Linked DNA regions of Xenopus tropicalis. The protein of the gene in region 2 interacts with the protein of the main gene of each other region in a biochemical or structural test. Links are inferred from orthologs where the notes say so. Each region holds a gene or a part of one and is shown on either strand. Other genes may lie near its edges.

Region 1 (4,142 bases), on a different chromosome or scaffold from region 2:
AGGCAGGCTGGAAGGCTTGTTACATAGACCTTACAGTGAGATTCTAACTACTCTCCGTTTCTCAAGGATAGGTCCTATTTCAGGACTATGGCCTCTGGGTAAAACAGATCTGCTTGCTGCCCTTCCCTTTATTTCATAGCCCCTCCTATTTGACAGCACTGTGGTGCCTCTCACGGCCCCCCCCCCCCCCCCCCGAAAATATCAAAGGGGCTGTAATTTTTAAAGAGGAAAGGCGGCAACCCTGGTAACCAGAGTTTCAAATTTGTATTTAAATGATGCCTACTTTTCTACTTTTCCTTAGCCACATAATAGCCCCACCCCCCTATGATCAATGACCTGCCCCAAACATCACTCACCTACCCCTGATGTCGTTGCCCCCCCCCAAACATCACTGCCTTGCTCCTCGCCCAGAGGCAACCCTAGTCACAACTAAATAAGGACTGGAGGGAGCCCTTTATAAAGTACACACGGATACAGATATTGCGGACCCATTATTATATATTATAATATATATTATTATTTTTTAAGGCATGTCCAGTCTGTAGGAATGTTGTTGTAATATAATGGATGGCTGCAGGTTGAACATCTGAGTTAACCTGCAATTTTCCCACCCTAAAACTGAGCCCCAGCCCTCCTGTATTGCCAGAAGCTCCATCTTTTCCCATTATGTCTGTTCCTGTTTGCATTATTTTACCTCTGTTTGGTGCAGGTGTGTATAACCTGCATTAGCTTACTTAGACTGTAAGCTCCATGGGCCAGGGACCTCCTTCCTATTGCGTCACTTACTGCACTTTTTTTTCATTCTCTACATTCTCATCATCTATGTAGCTGTCTATTTAAATACTTGTATTTATTATAATGCGTGTCCTTCCTGTGGGTACTTTTCTACTCTGTCAGATTGCATGGTGCTGCTTAGTCAATACCTATTATGAGCATGATTTAAATTCATTGCAACTTTCCCTTCGTATGTTAACCACTCACATTGCAGTTATATATGACGTGATCGCTATTGGCTGCTTACGGACTGTCTGGCATGGATTGTTACCTTTGCGCCATGGGATTATCCGAATTCAGATCCCGGCACAGCATTCATTAGCGTCCCTGTCGCCATAGAAACACATATGGGCTAGCCCATCTGTCGAAATTGCTCACCAGTGAGCAAAACTCCCCAGCGAATATTTACAATGTTCCTCGCTTTTTGTCAGTAGGCTGCGATATAAGTGAATACGTAATTAAAATGCTAATGTGTGATAAAGGCAAAAAACCAAAAATGACTCCCCTTATCATGATCCCTTCCGCCGTGTCTACCCATAATCCCATGCAACGATCCGTTTGGCTGTAAGCCGTTGCTATGGCGACGCGCGCCTGCGCATGAAGCAGTTACGCGGGTTGGTTCTTTGCTGGAAGCGGAGAGTAGACATAGCAGTAGGAGTTCGTTCAGCGGTTTGCAGGTAACAGAGAGTTTATTTTTCTTTCTAACCTGGCAGGGGGTATTATTATTTATTCAAAAGCGTTTGTGTGAGAAAGGCAACAAGTCAAAGGTGGTACAGACCAAACAATTAAGTAAACAATAGTGTTTGAGTCATCTAATGAATGGCACTCCTGATTACACTGCACAGTTTTGGAAAGGGGTAATATGGTTACCTATAGTTGTTCTGAAGTGCGGCATGAAACTTTTCTTAACTTTCATTTAACCCTAGGGACAGTCTGTAAACTGATAAATGATTGTTACCTGATGTTTGTTCCATGTTAGTTCCCCCCAGCACAGCTCATGGTACAGCCTCTATGATGATCTCCTGTTTGCTCTCCACTGCTTTGCTGTATTTCTGTTTATCTTGGATATCCACTGGATATCTCATAGACTAATGGCACATGTGGCATTCTGATTGATGCTACTAAGTGAATAAGCACCTCAAACATAATTTCACATATATAACTTCTACTTTATAGTGGCAAAATACAGTATCATACCTGGTGACTTTGCATTGAAGGCAAGAGAAGAAAATACCACAAAAAAAGATAAGAAATACCACAACTGGTCCATAACCCAAGGATTGTACAGGTATGGGATCTGTTATCCAGAAACCCTTTATCCAAAAGCGCTGAATTACAGAAGGCCATTTTACATTTGGATTTGTCCTGGTTTTGTCCTATAATAAATCTCAGGAAAATTTGTTTTGGTGTAAAAAAACCCTAACCAAAAGTAAAGTAACAGCCATAAAATACCAGGTATTACATTAGCCTAAACCCCCTGGGAGACATTTTATATGGCAACAGCAGCAGGAACAGATGGTAGAAGACTGCTGATGGTGCTGATCCTTTGTACCTTGGGTACTACCCAATAGTATTTTTGTTAGCTAATCTCCTTTTGCTCCTGTGAGTAGGTTTAAGGACCACACACACCAATTATAAATAGCAGTCTGTTTTTTGTTTAAAGAGAGTGACACAAGCAAGATTCCAGTTTTGTATGAAATTACCATTGCAAGCAATTCTGTGCACAATAATTTATACCCTAATGCTTGACTGCTATCGTCAAGAAATCTATAAGGGCAAAAAGTCAAGGAATGCAAGATCACTAAGAATGCACCCATAAGTGTTAATACATTTCTGCCAGGGAACTAGCTTCACCACCTTGCATCAGATAAAAATATGGCTTGAGGTACCGAGTATGGCACTGGCGGGCATAGGCCAGCCCAGTCCTTACTATGTTCGGTAGGGCAGGTGGTAAAAAGAGGGCCCCTTTATGGCCTTCTTCCACTGCCATTTTTTTTAAGAAGAACTAAACCCTCAGAATCAATACTTAATCAACAGATAGTTTATATTATATTCATATTAATTAACCTTAAAAGAGGCTTAAAGATTATTAGCAAACTGGGATAATGGTAGGGCAGGTGGTAAAAGAGAGGACCCCTTTATGGCCTTCTTCCACTGCCATTTTTTAAAGAAGAACTAAACCCTCAGGATCAATACTTAATCAACAGATAGTTTATATCATATTAATTAGCCTTAAAAGAGGCTTAAAGAATATTAGCAAACTGGGATAATGGCCTTTTACATCTTGAGCCACCTTTTTGTAATAGTCTTGTGTGCTCCCTCACAGATCAGCTGACAGGAAATAATACAGCTCTAACTGTAACAGGAAGTAGTGTGGGAGTAAACCCAACCCAAAGACCTAACATGTATGTGTGCCTTAGCTTGTTTGTGTGCACCGTGCAAAGGTGGTGTCCCTTAATACTTAAAATGGTAGTTTTCTATTTAGGATCACCCAGTAGTATATTTTTTATGAAAATTGTTTATTTATATAAAGCAGGGTTTCACATATGAGCTGTTTTATATTTTATATTTTTATAAAGACCTACATTGCTTGGGGGTAAAGATTTCTTTTAACTTGCGTGTTTAAATGAAGTGCAAGCTAAGGGTGGGGCTGGAAATGCAAACACGCCTCTCCCCTTCCACCCCTCATGAACACACTGCTGCTGAATACAGGCAATTGCTGTAATTGTGGGGGTGGCTACACAAATTTGTGGCAACTCATTTAGGTAGGAAGAAAGTTTGCATCTGTTTTTGCACTTTGCACCTTGCCTTCCTGTTGGTATTCCTATACAGAATTTGTAGAGGTTATACAAAGACTCACAGGCGTACAGACGTAGATGCAAAATGCCTCCTACCTCTAATTTGCATTAGAAGTGGAAAAAACAACCAGTCCCTGGATCAACATTATACTAATATTAATAACAGTCACCTTCTGTTTTCTCACTTGTTAAAAAGGTATCTTGAAACTAATGTATTTGGCAGTATAAATAATTCAGGGGAGAGAAATATACAAATATGCATGTTAAGTTTATATATCCTCTTAACTTCAGGGGGGCTGTTGTGTCCTTTGGAATGAGCTACTGGTAGATGAAGCATCTCCATATTTTTTAAATGGAAGAACCCTTTTTGACATGAGTGCATTCTATATAAGCCCAACTGAATAAGCTCTTGTAAAAAAGGGGGCATAGTTTCCCTTACATACTGTGACTAGGTCAGTTGCAAGTTGATACAGAGTTAAGGTATGTGGCAACTTTGGTCCCAGTGTACGTCACAACTCCCCCAGTAGAACAGTTAGAATTATTATTGTTATTTTAACACAAGTCTGTAGC
Region 2 (3,565 bases):
ACAGGTTAACAAATTTAGTCAGATTGGCGACATCAGCTCGTTCATATGGCCCCTGAACAGACTATATACTGCAGTTCTAATTCGGTCGGAATTAGCCTGAAATCACCCAATATCGCCCGCCTGTAGGTGGGGATATCGGGAGAAGATCCGCTCGCTTGGGAGATACTGCCCCTGACATGAGCTCCTCCATAGATTGGGGAAGATTTAGTTTAACCTAAGTCAGGAACTGGTACCTGTAAGCAAAGAAACAATCATGGTTTCCATTTAAATTTGTAACATTTTGGGCTAGCCAAGCCAGTAGTGCGTTTAGTTTAAATATACTGCAAAATATTCTAGCAGTGTTACTGTTTAATAAGCCAAGCATGTCCTCTTTTAGACAATTTTTAAAAGGACAGAAATCCACAAGTTCAAGAAATAGGGCTTGGCTGAAAACCTGTCTCCTCTTGATTTAATCATGAGCAATGCAGTGCACCATTGCAAGGTAGATTCCCTGAGCAGATAAGTGTCCAATAGAATTGAGTGGATTATCTGTTTTGGTAATCTAAGAACCATACTGAGCAAATTTTGCCCATTTTACCAGTTAAATATTAAAGAAAAATTTGTTCAGCAAAAGCTCTGTTAATAAAACTCATGTTGAAAAGTGGCTAGAGTCCCTTTTACACAACAGCAAGATCAGGGGACCATATACTTCAGACTGCATACTCTTGAATTTTTAGTGTGTGCGAGACAAACCTTATTGTTTTATCAAACCAACACATTCAAACTCCCAAGGGGCACCGATTAGTTTTATGGATAGTTTAAAAGTGAAGAGACCAACTTCCATAAACCGAGAAATGCCAATTGACTAATTTCCCAGTCTATCCTTTAAAGATCCTGCTAAATTCTCCCTTTTCATTCCATTAAAACTGCCCTGAACTAAAGTCTTACCTGCACAAATAATGGAATGGTGTTAAGACCTCTGATTACAATTCGGTTGTGGACATCACGAGCCAAAATGTGAAGGGCACCTGTGCAGCCTTCAACTATCTCTTCCATACGGACACCCTCCTGAAAGTGGAAATCAGAACTTGTAGGCAACCTTAAGCACACATGTATCTAAGTATAGGCAAGCTTGAAAGAATTACATACCACAAATTGCTGTTGTGTTCCACCCATTGAAGTGCGCCTCTGTGTGTCCTGGTGTGCACGAACAAGCAATTGCACAAGTCGAGGAATAGCACCCTGCTCGCGCAGTGGGGCATGATTGGCTGGACAAAGAGCAAGGTTGCGGATCAGGCCAACTGTAGCCTAAAAAAATTTAAAAAAAAAATGAAATAAGACTGAGGTACAGTGTAAACACGAGTTATAAATCACTGTTATATACTTGGCATGGGAATCCTTGCTGACAGTTTAGCTTTGTGGGGTAGTTCAGCTACTAGACATTTTTAGTTTTCAGACAAACTAATTTCTGATGTACTATTTTGTCAAAAGAAGGCATGAGGGGGAAAAAAAAAAAAAATAAATAAAAAAAACTTTCTAGGGACCAAGTCACTGAAACATTTTACTTGTTTTCAACCACTAGCCTTTTTTTGGTCACTGTAATGGTTATACCAAAGCCTATATGAGATGTTAACAAATAGCCGTTTAACACTTTACCACCATGTTATTTTGTAGTAATTTAGGAGACTTTGATACAGCCTTACACATTCTATACAGGATGCCAACAAGAGGTTAAAGACTAAGCTCAGTGATCTAGATTCACAATACTGCAACTCGAGTTTCAAATTTTCATTCGATTTGGTAACCGTACGTGGTCAGTTTTTAAATTTAAATTACAAATCCATTACCCAAAGCCTAAGAGAATCAGTGTGGTCAGATGTCAGTTCTTGCCAAAACAATTGCCATGATTACAAATTACCAGTTATGTGTTTATGAAGGCAGCATAAGCAGCAAAACTTACTGTAGGCTAAGAATGACTTTGATAAAGACCATGAGCATCACTGGTCTAGTTTATGTAATACAAGAATCTGAGGTTGAAGTATTGATCATGAGCTGAAGTTTAATTTTCCCCGTCAGACCATTAATAAAAACCAGACTGAACTCTGGAGTGAGCCATAGGGCACCCTATGTATAACCTACTTACCTTTATCAAAGGCCAGTGTGAAGGAGGGTGCAAGAGCTTCACCACCACTGGAAGCCCATAATGAAGACGTACTGCATTTTGAGCCATCTCTGCTTCCTGATGCCTACTGGTAAGGTGACGAAGTGCACAAATTGCAGGTTCAGTGATGTCTTCTCTATCCCCAGCACGTAGAACTGTGCGAACAAGGGCTTCAATGCCTCCAACTTGACAAACCATCATTTTGTTTTTGTAGTTGTTGCATGTAAGGTTGGACAGTATACCAGCTGCACAAGTTACTACATTAATGTCATCTGATCCAAGAAGCTGAACCAGGGTTCCAAGAAGACCTTCCATTCCCTCCTAAAATCAATACAGATATTTAGTAAAGTCACACTAAACAGTTAAACACTAGTGGCCTAAAGAAAAACATTAATAACCTGTTTAGTTGCGGCATCTGAAAGGTTTCTTAGAGTCCAAAGACAATTTTGAACAAGACGTTGGCTTGAGTCTGTAAGATGGAGTCCTAAAGCTTGCATTCCACCTAGATGGCAAACAGAAGACAGTCAATTAAGCTCAATCAGTACAAAGTTTTTCTGAAACTATACAGGGCTGCAGATTGTTAAGTCTGCACTGATGGAAGCTCGTGAGTTGTAGACTTAATTTTTCTAAGTTTCCACCCTTGATTTTGCCAACAGCATGGCATAGATTAAAGGATGCAATTCAGATGGTTTGAATAACAGTGAAAGGTAAGCTTACCAGCTTCAACTATAGCAGGCTTGTTGCTAGAGCACACAGATAACACTTTAAGCACCCGACTTGTGGTCCACAGAAGTTTCTCGTAACTGTAAGTCCTCATTATGTTTACCAAAGCTTGCGGTCCACCACTTGCAAGAATAATCAACTAAAAGCACAAAATATCCTATGAAGTTCATATACAAGCTGCATAACAAGCATTTATACAAAATTTTCCTTCATGCACTAAAGTGACTGGAGGGCAAAATACAGTGCATTTTTAAAACTGAAGGCATTTAAAACTGGCTAGTCTTATTTCTACACTGTTGACACTGAGAGCAAACCTTGCCATGACACATTGATATATTATATTTTGCTGTATTTTGGCAGATTTCCACAAGTGTCTTGTTTACAATGTTTCAAAGCATTATCTTTTACATTGGGGTAAGGCACAATGGTGACAAATCTTCCCCAATGCCTTCCCACTGGCAAAATTAATTGCTGGTGGAAACATACACTGCTTCTTTTACCAAGGAAGTGTCACAGATTTGGTCTACGCTTAGTCCTAAATTGGCTAAATACATACTACCAAATCTCAAAGTCAGTTGTGTATAGCACTAGAGATTAACTTCAATATCTGTAGATCAGTTTTAATCCATGAAAAACTCTACAAACCTTGCTTTCTTGATTTCCATAGGCCAATATTTGAAGACAGTCTGTTGTGATTGCCAA
Region 3 (4,144 bases), on a different chromosome or scaffold from region 2:
AATAGTACATAGAAACAAACTATGCTCTTCTTAAAAAGAGCCCCTTACAAAGGGAAAAAAAATAACCAGAAAACAAAAGTGCACCAAAATATTGATACCAAATTGAGACCAAAATATACCTTAGTGTGATATTGTTTAGGTTAGAAGACACACATTATAAAGTCAGCCTTCACAAAGGAAGCAAAGTGCCTCACCCAAGAACATGAAGCATACATTATTTTATTAGCTGTTAGTTTGACTTGCAATGATTCACCAAAACAGTTGATGATGATCCTCAGTGGTATCATTAAAAAAATTAACAGACACATTTGATGCACAAACTTCAAGTGGTATACAACAAAATAAGCTGCAATATTTCATGAGGTATGAGATATGAGATATGCAGAACACATAGAACAACCAATTATCACCAGTGCTTATGCTAAAACATAACACTTGCATGTATACTTAAAATAAATAGAATAAAAATAGATAGTAAATTATTTATCCCATGTTTAAACAATAGGTCCATCACAGACTAGTGGCACTGAAGCAGTCCATTACAAAGAACCTCCATGGAGATAGTCTGAATGAATTTTGCTTAGCTTTGCCAATTTGTCAGGAAGATGAAGGATAGGTAAGAATCCAAATCAATTTAGAGGTTAAGACATATCAGTGGGGGCATGGATGCTCCCAGTTGGCTCAGAGTGGTGCTGCAGAAGTGCATGATTCTTCCACAATAGACTTATTGTGTAAAAAACAAAAATGTGGCAGTGCATTATTCTCTTCAAAGTATTGAATATGCTTTTTAAAAAAAATCCAAGGCTGTGCTGGGCAGCCGGTGGCACTAAATATACTGAACTGTAGGATAGGAACCAATCAGCAGCTAGGTGGACCTGATCAGAAACTAACTCTGACTTTGCTTTGTGAAAGCAGGGCTGTAATTGGCTATGCCCACTACTACTGTGCTTCTGGAAGGGATAGTTAATATAAGCCCACTCCTCATTTAAAGCACAGAGAGGGACCATAGTGGATCTATGGGGAGCACCAATAAAGGGGTTAATTTTAAAGATAATAATGGAAGTTTTAATTATCCTATATGTCTTCTTTAACCAACTGCATGCCTGCAATCAGAGCAACAAACTATACCTTCTTTACATTGCGCTAATCAAACATTAAAACACAAGATCAGGGACACTGTTTCATATACAGGTACCTGTTATCCAGAATGCTGGGGACCTGGGGTTTTCTGGATAAGGGGTCTTTCTGTAATTTGGATCTCCATAACTTAAGTCTGTTAAAAACCATTTAAATATTGAATAAACCCAATAGGATTGTTTTGCCTCTAATAAGGATTAATTATATCTTAGTTGGGATCAAGTACAAGGTACTGTTTATTATTACAGAGAAAAAGGAAATCATTTTTTAAAAATTAGAATTATTTGCTTTTAATGGAGTCTATGGGAGATGGCCTTTCCATAATTTGGAACTTTCTGGATAACAGGTTTCCGGATAAGGGATTCCATACCTCTACAATATTTTTTAACAATATTAAAGATTTCTTCATGCACATGCACTTTATCAAATTGGCTTCTAGGCAAGTAAACCTACTACAGGCACAGATTGGCCACCCACACTGGTGAAGTAATTTTTTTAAAAAAAAGTTTTGCACTGGAGGCTATCCCAACAAGAACAAATATGGATCTGTCAATCCAACGATTTTGGGGAAATTGACACTCCAATGCAGGAGCTATGTTGCTACATCTTTAGACACTTAACACACAAATATGGCTCTGTCAAAATGATGGCAGCATTGATTGAGCACATTTAAAAAAAAGAATGGTTAGGGGAGGGGGTGTTTGTATTTAATCTGAAAATAGATACTTACCTGCCGTCTTTGTGTCATATCTATCTGCAACATCCATTTATTACAAGTGATTGCAGCCTTTGTTCTGCTTGTATTACCGTGTCAATGATGACTTTATAAGTGGGTTGGAACAGATACATTTATGAATTTATACACAATTATTGAAATTCCACTTACTCTCATTACAACTTTTCTTGTTATCCTACTCTGCAGTGCGCAGCAATTTTCCCTAGTTCTGACTAGTTTTTTCAATAAGCCTCCTAGTACAACGGGCAACTTTATTATAAATACGGATTAGGAGCAAGTTCTTATAAACTGGACCCTGTAACCCTGCTGTTTGATTACACAAGGCTTTTTTTGCTTGCTGTTGGTTGGAATATCAGAACAACTTGCCAGCAGTACATAAAGGTGATGATGGGCCAGACATTCCATGGATCATCAGTATAGCACATGGGAGCAGAGAAGCAATACATGGAGGAGCATGCATCTGAACTGATCACTATTCGGCCATGCAGTACGTCTTTGCTGCATGTGCAGTATTAGAAGGACGATATGGAAAGACATGTTCTGCTGCAGACTGAACACAATCCCAAAACACAACCCAGTTTAGCCAATCACTCCCCCTACACACACACAACTGGAGATGTTCATTCTGGAACATGAAAGTTGCTGACCTGTCTCCTTCAGGGCTGTGTCCCGGGCTGCTGCGGGGGGTGTTGGTCCTCCTCTCCTCGGGCTCCGGGGCTCCCTCTCTCTCCTGCTGCCACCTCTTGTCCGGGGAACTCATGCGAGACCCCCAATCTAAACCACAGCACTACTGCATACCGCCCAACACACCCGAATTTTTAAACACAGCCCGCAGTCCCAGATTGCTGCTTAAACGTCCCGCAACGCCGATAATACCCAGATTCCTGGCCCCTGCCGGACAGCTAATCCCGACGTCAAAAGTCTCATCTCGCGAGAGTGTGGCGTCACAGCTGACGTATAAGCGCAGTGACGCGGCACGTAGCCATTTGGGGAGTGACAGGGGACCTCAGTGTTGCGAAACCCCAAAGTGTTATTAACACGAGGTTGTTCGTTGAGTTCAGTGTATTTTTTCTTAGCTCCTACTTTTTTTTAACTCAGAACCTTTTCTTACAATTAGACCAATAAGGAAAGAGGACTTTGCGCAAAATAGGGCCAGATAAAATGAAGTCATGGTCTTATTTTTTGTACTGGGGATGTCAGTGTGTTTGGTAAACAACGGCCAGATTTTTCACCCAGTAGGAAAATTCAATGGGCGAGATTCACATGCAGTAATCTATAGTTTTTAGGCTCTTTATTCACCGCACCATCAGCATACCACAGTCATTTTGTGTAAGCAAGGTGTTGGTTTTTCACAATTCAAATTGAAATATAGAGTGTAAGCTCTACAGGGCAGGGACCTCCATCCTCTTGTGTCTTTAACTCTTAACTTATTGCAACTGTATCTTGTATTTATTGTTATACTTTGCATTTATCTATTATTATCTTAATAACTCTCTGTTTGTATTAATGTATTCTACTGTACAGCACTGCGTACATAAGTAGCGCTTTATGTATGTATATCTTTATTTATAAAGTGCTACTTACGTAGGTATCAATGTACAGTGGAATACATTAATACTAATGAGATTATTAAGATAATAATAGATAAATACAAAGTATAACGATAAATACAAGATACAGTTGCAATAAGTTAAGAGTCAAAGACACAAGAGGATGGAGGTCCCTGACCCGTAGAGCTTACAATCTATATGGGAGGGTAACTTACAGACACAAATAGGCAAATATAAGTGCTGTAGGTCACAGTGGGTGACACTACAATATAAGCTCTTTATAAATAAAGATATATATACAATTCAGGGACTGCGTGGTTAGGGTTGCCACCTGGCTGGTATTGTACTGGGCTGGTCGGTAAAAATGATGCTTAATGCCAATGTTATTAAAAGGAAAGAAATCTATAGGAAGGTCGTTATTTTTGTCCCGAAAAGGTGGCAACCCTATGCAAGGCTAATGCACTGGCCCCAACTGAAGTGTGCTGGCACAAAACTACTGTATATACTCGAGTATAAGCCTAGTTTTTCAGCACCCAAAATGTGCTGAAAAAGTCAGCCTCGGCTTATACTCGAGTCGGGTTCCATGGGTCCCTCCAGACTAGCACCCTCTGTCCTTTGTGTGCAAATTAGGCCCCCCGCAACCAGACCCTACAGTGCCTGTTGTTTTTGTTGACCCTCTTCTCCACTTACAGAGCTAGTTTACTGTTTTTCTTTGACATAA

What was found.
Region 1: the proteins of ctnnb1 (region 2) and cby1 form a complex in vitro, tested with the Homo sapiens proteins (2 studies listed by BioGRID and IntAct). The link is inferred for Xenopus tropicalis from reciprocal best matches to the Homo sapiens genes CTNNB1 and CBY1.
Region 3: of the proteins of ctnnb1 (region 2) and ube3a, one has a biochemical effect on the other in vitro, tested with the Homo sapiens proteins (3 studies listed by BioGRID). The link is inferred for Xenopus tropicalis from reciprocal best matches to the Homo sapiens genes CTNNB1 and UBE3A.

What each region holds. Positions count from the first base shown.
Region 1 is NC_030680.2:120,461,008-120,465,149, reverse strand, and holds the start of cby1 (protein chibby homolog 1), read left to right. Parts: upstream 1-1,332; 5' UTR 1,333-1,371; coding exon 1,372-1,451; intron 1,452-1,950; exon of another isoform or gene 1,951-2,062; intron 2,063-4,142. Other genes in the region: protein FAM227A, read right to left, coding at 1,046-1,089. UniProt on the Homo sapiens protein: Inhibits the Wnt/Wingless pathway by binding to CTNNB1/beta-catenin and inhibiting beta-catenin-mediated transcriptional activation through competition with TCF/LEF transcription factors.
Region 2 is NC_030682.2:53,371,265-53,374,829, reverse strand, and holds part of ctnnb1 (catenin beta-1), read right to left. Parts: coding exon 3,509-3,565; intron 3,003-3,508; coding exon 2,858-3,002; intron 2,643-2,857; coding exon 2,539-2,642; intron 2,462-2,538; coding exon 2,123-2,461; intron 1,288-2,122; coding exon 1,129-1,287; intron 1,048-1,128; coding exon 928-1,047; intron 1-927. UniProt on the Homo sapiens protein: Key downstream component of the canonical Wnt signaling pathway.
Region 3 is NC_030678.2:113,372,940-113,377,083, forward strand, and holds the start of ube3a (ubiquitin-protein ligase E3A), read right to left. Parts: upstream 2,811-4,144; 5' UTR 2,634-2,810; coding exon of another isoform or gene 2,521-2,633; intron 1-2,520. UniProt on the Homo sapiens protein: E3 ubiquitin-protein ligase which accepts ubiquitin from an E2 ubiquitin-conjugating enzyme in the form of a thioester and transfers it to its substrates.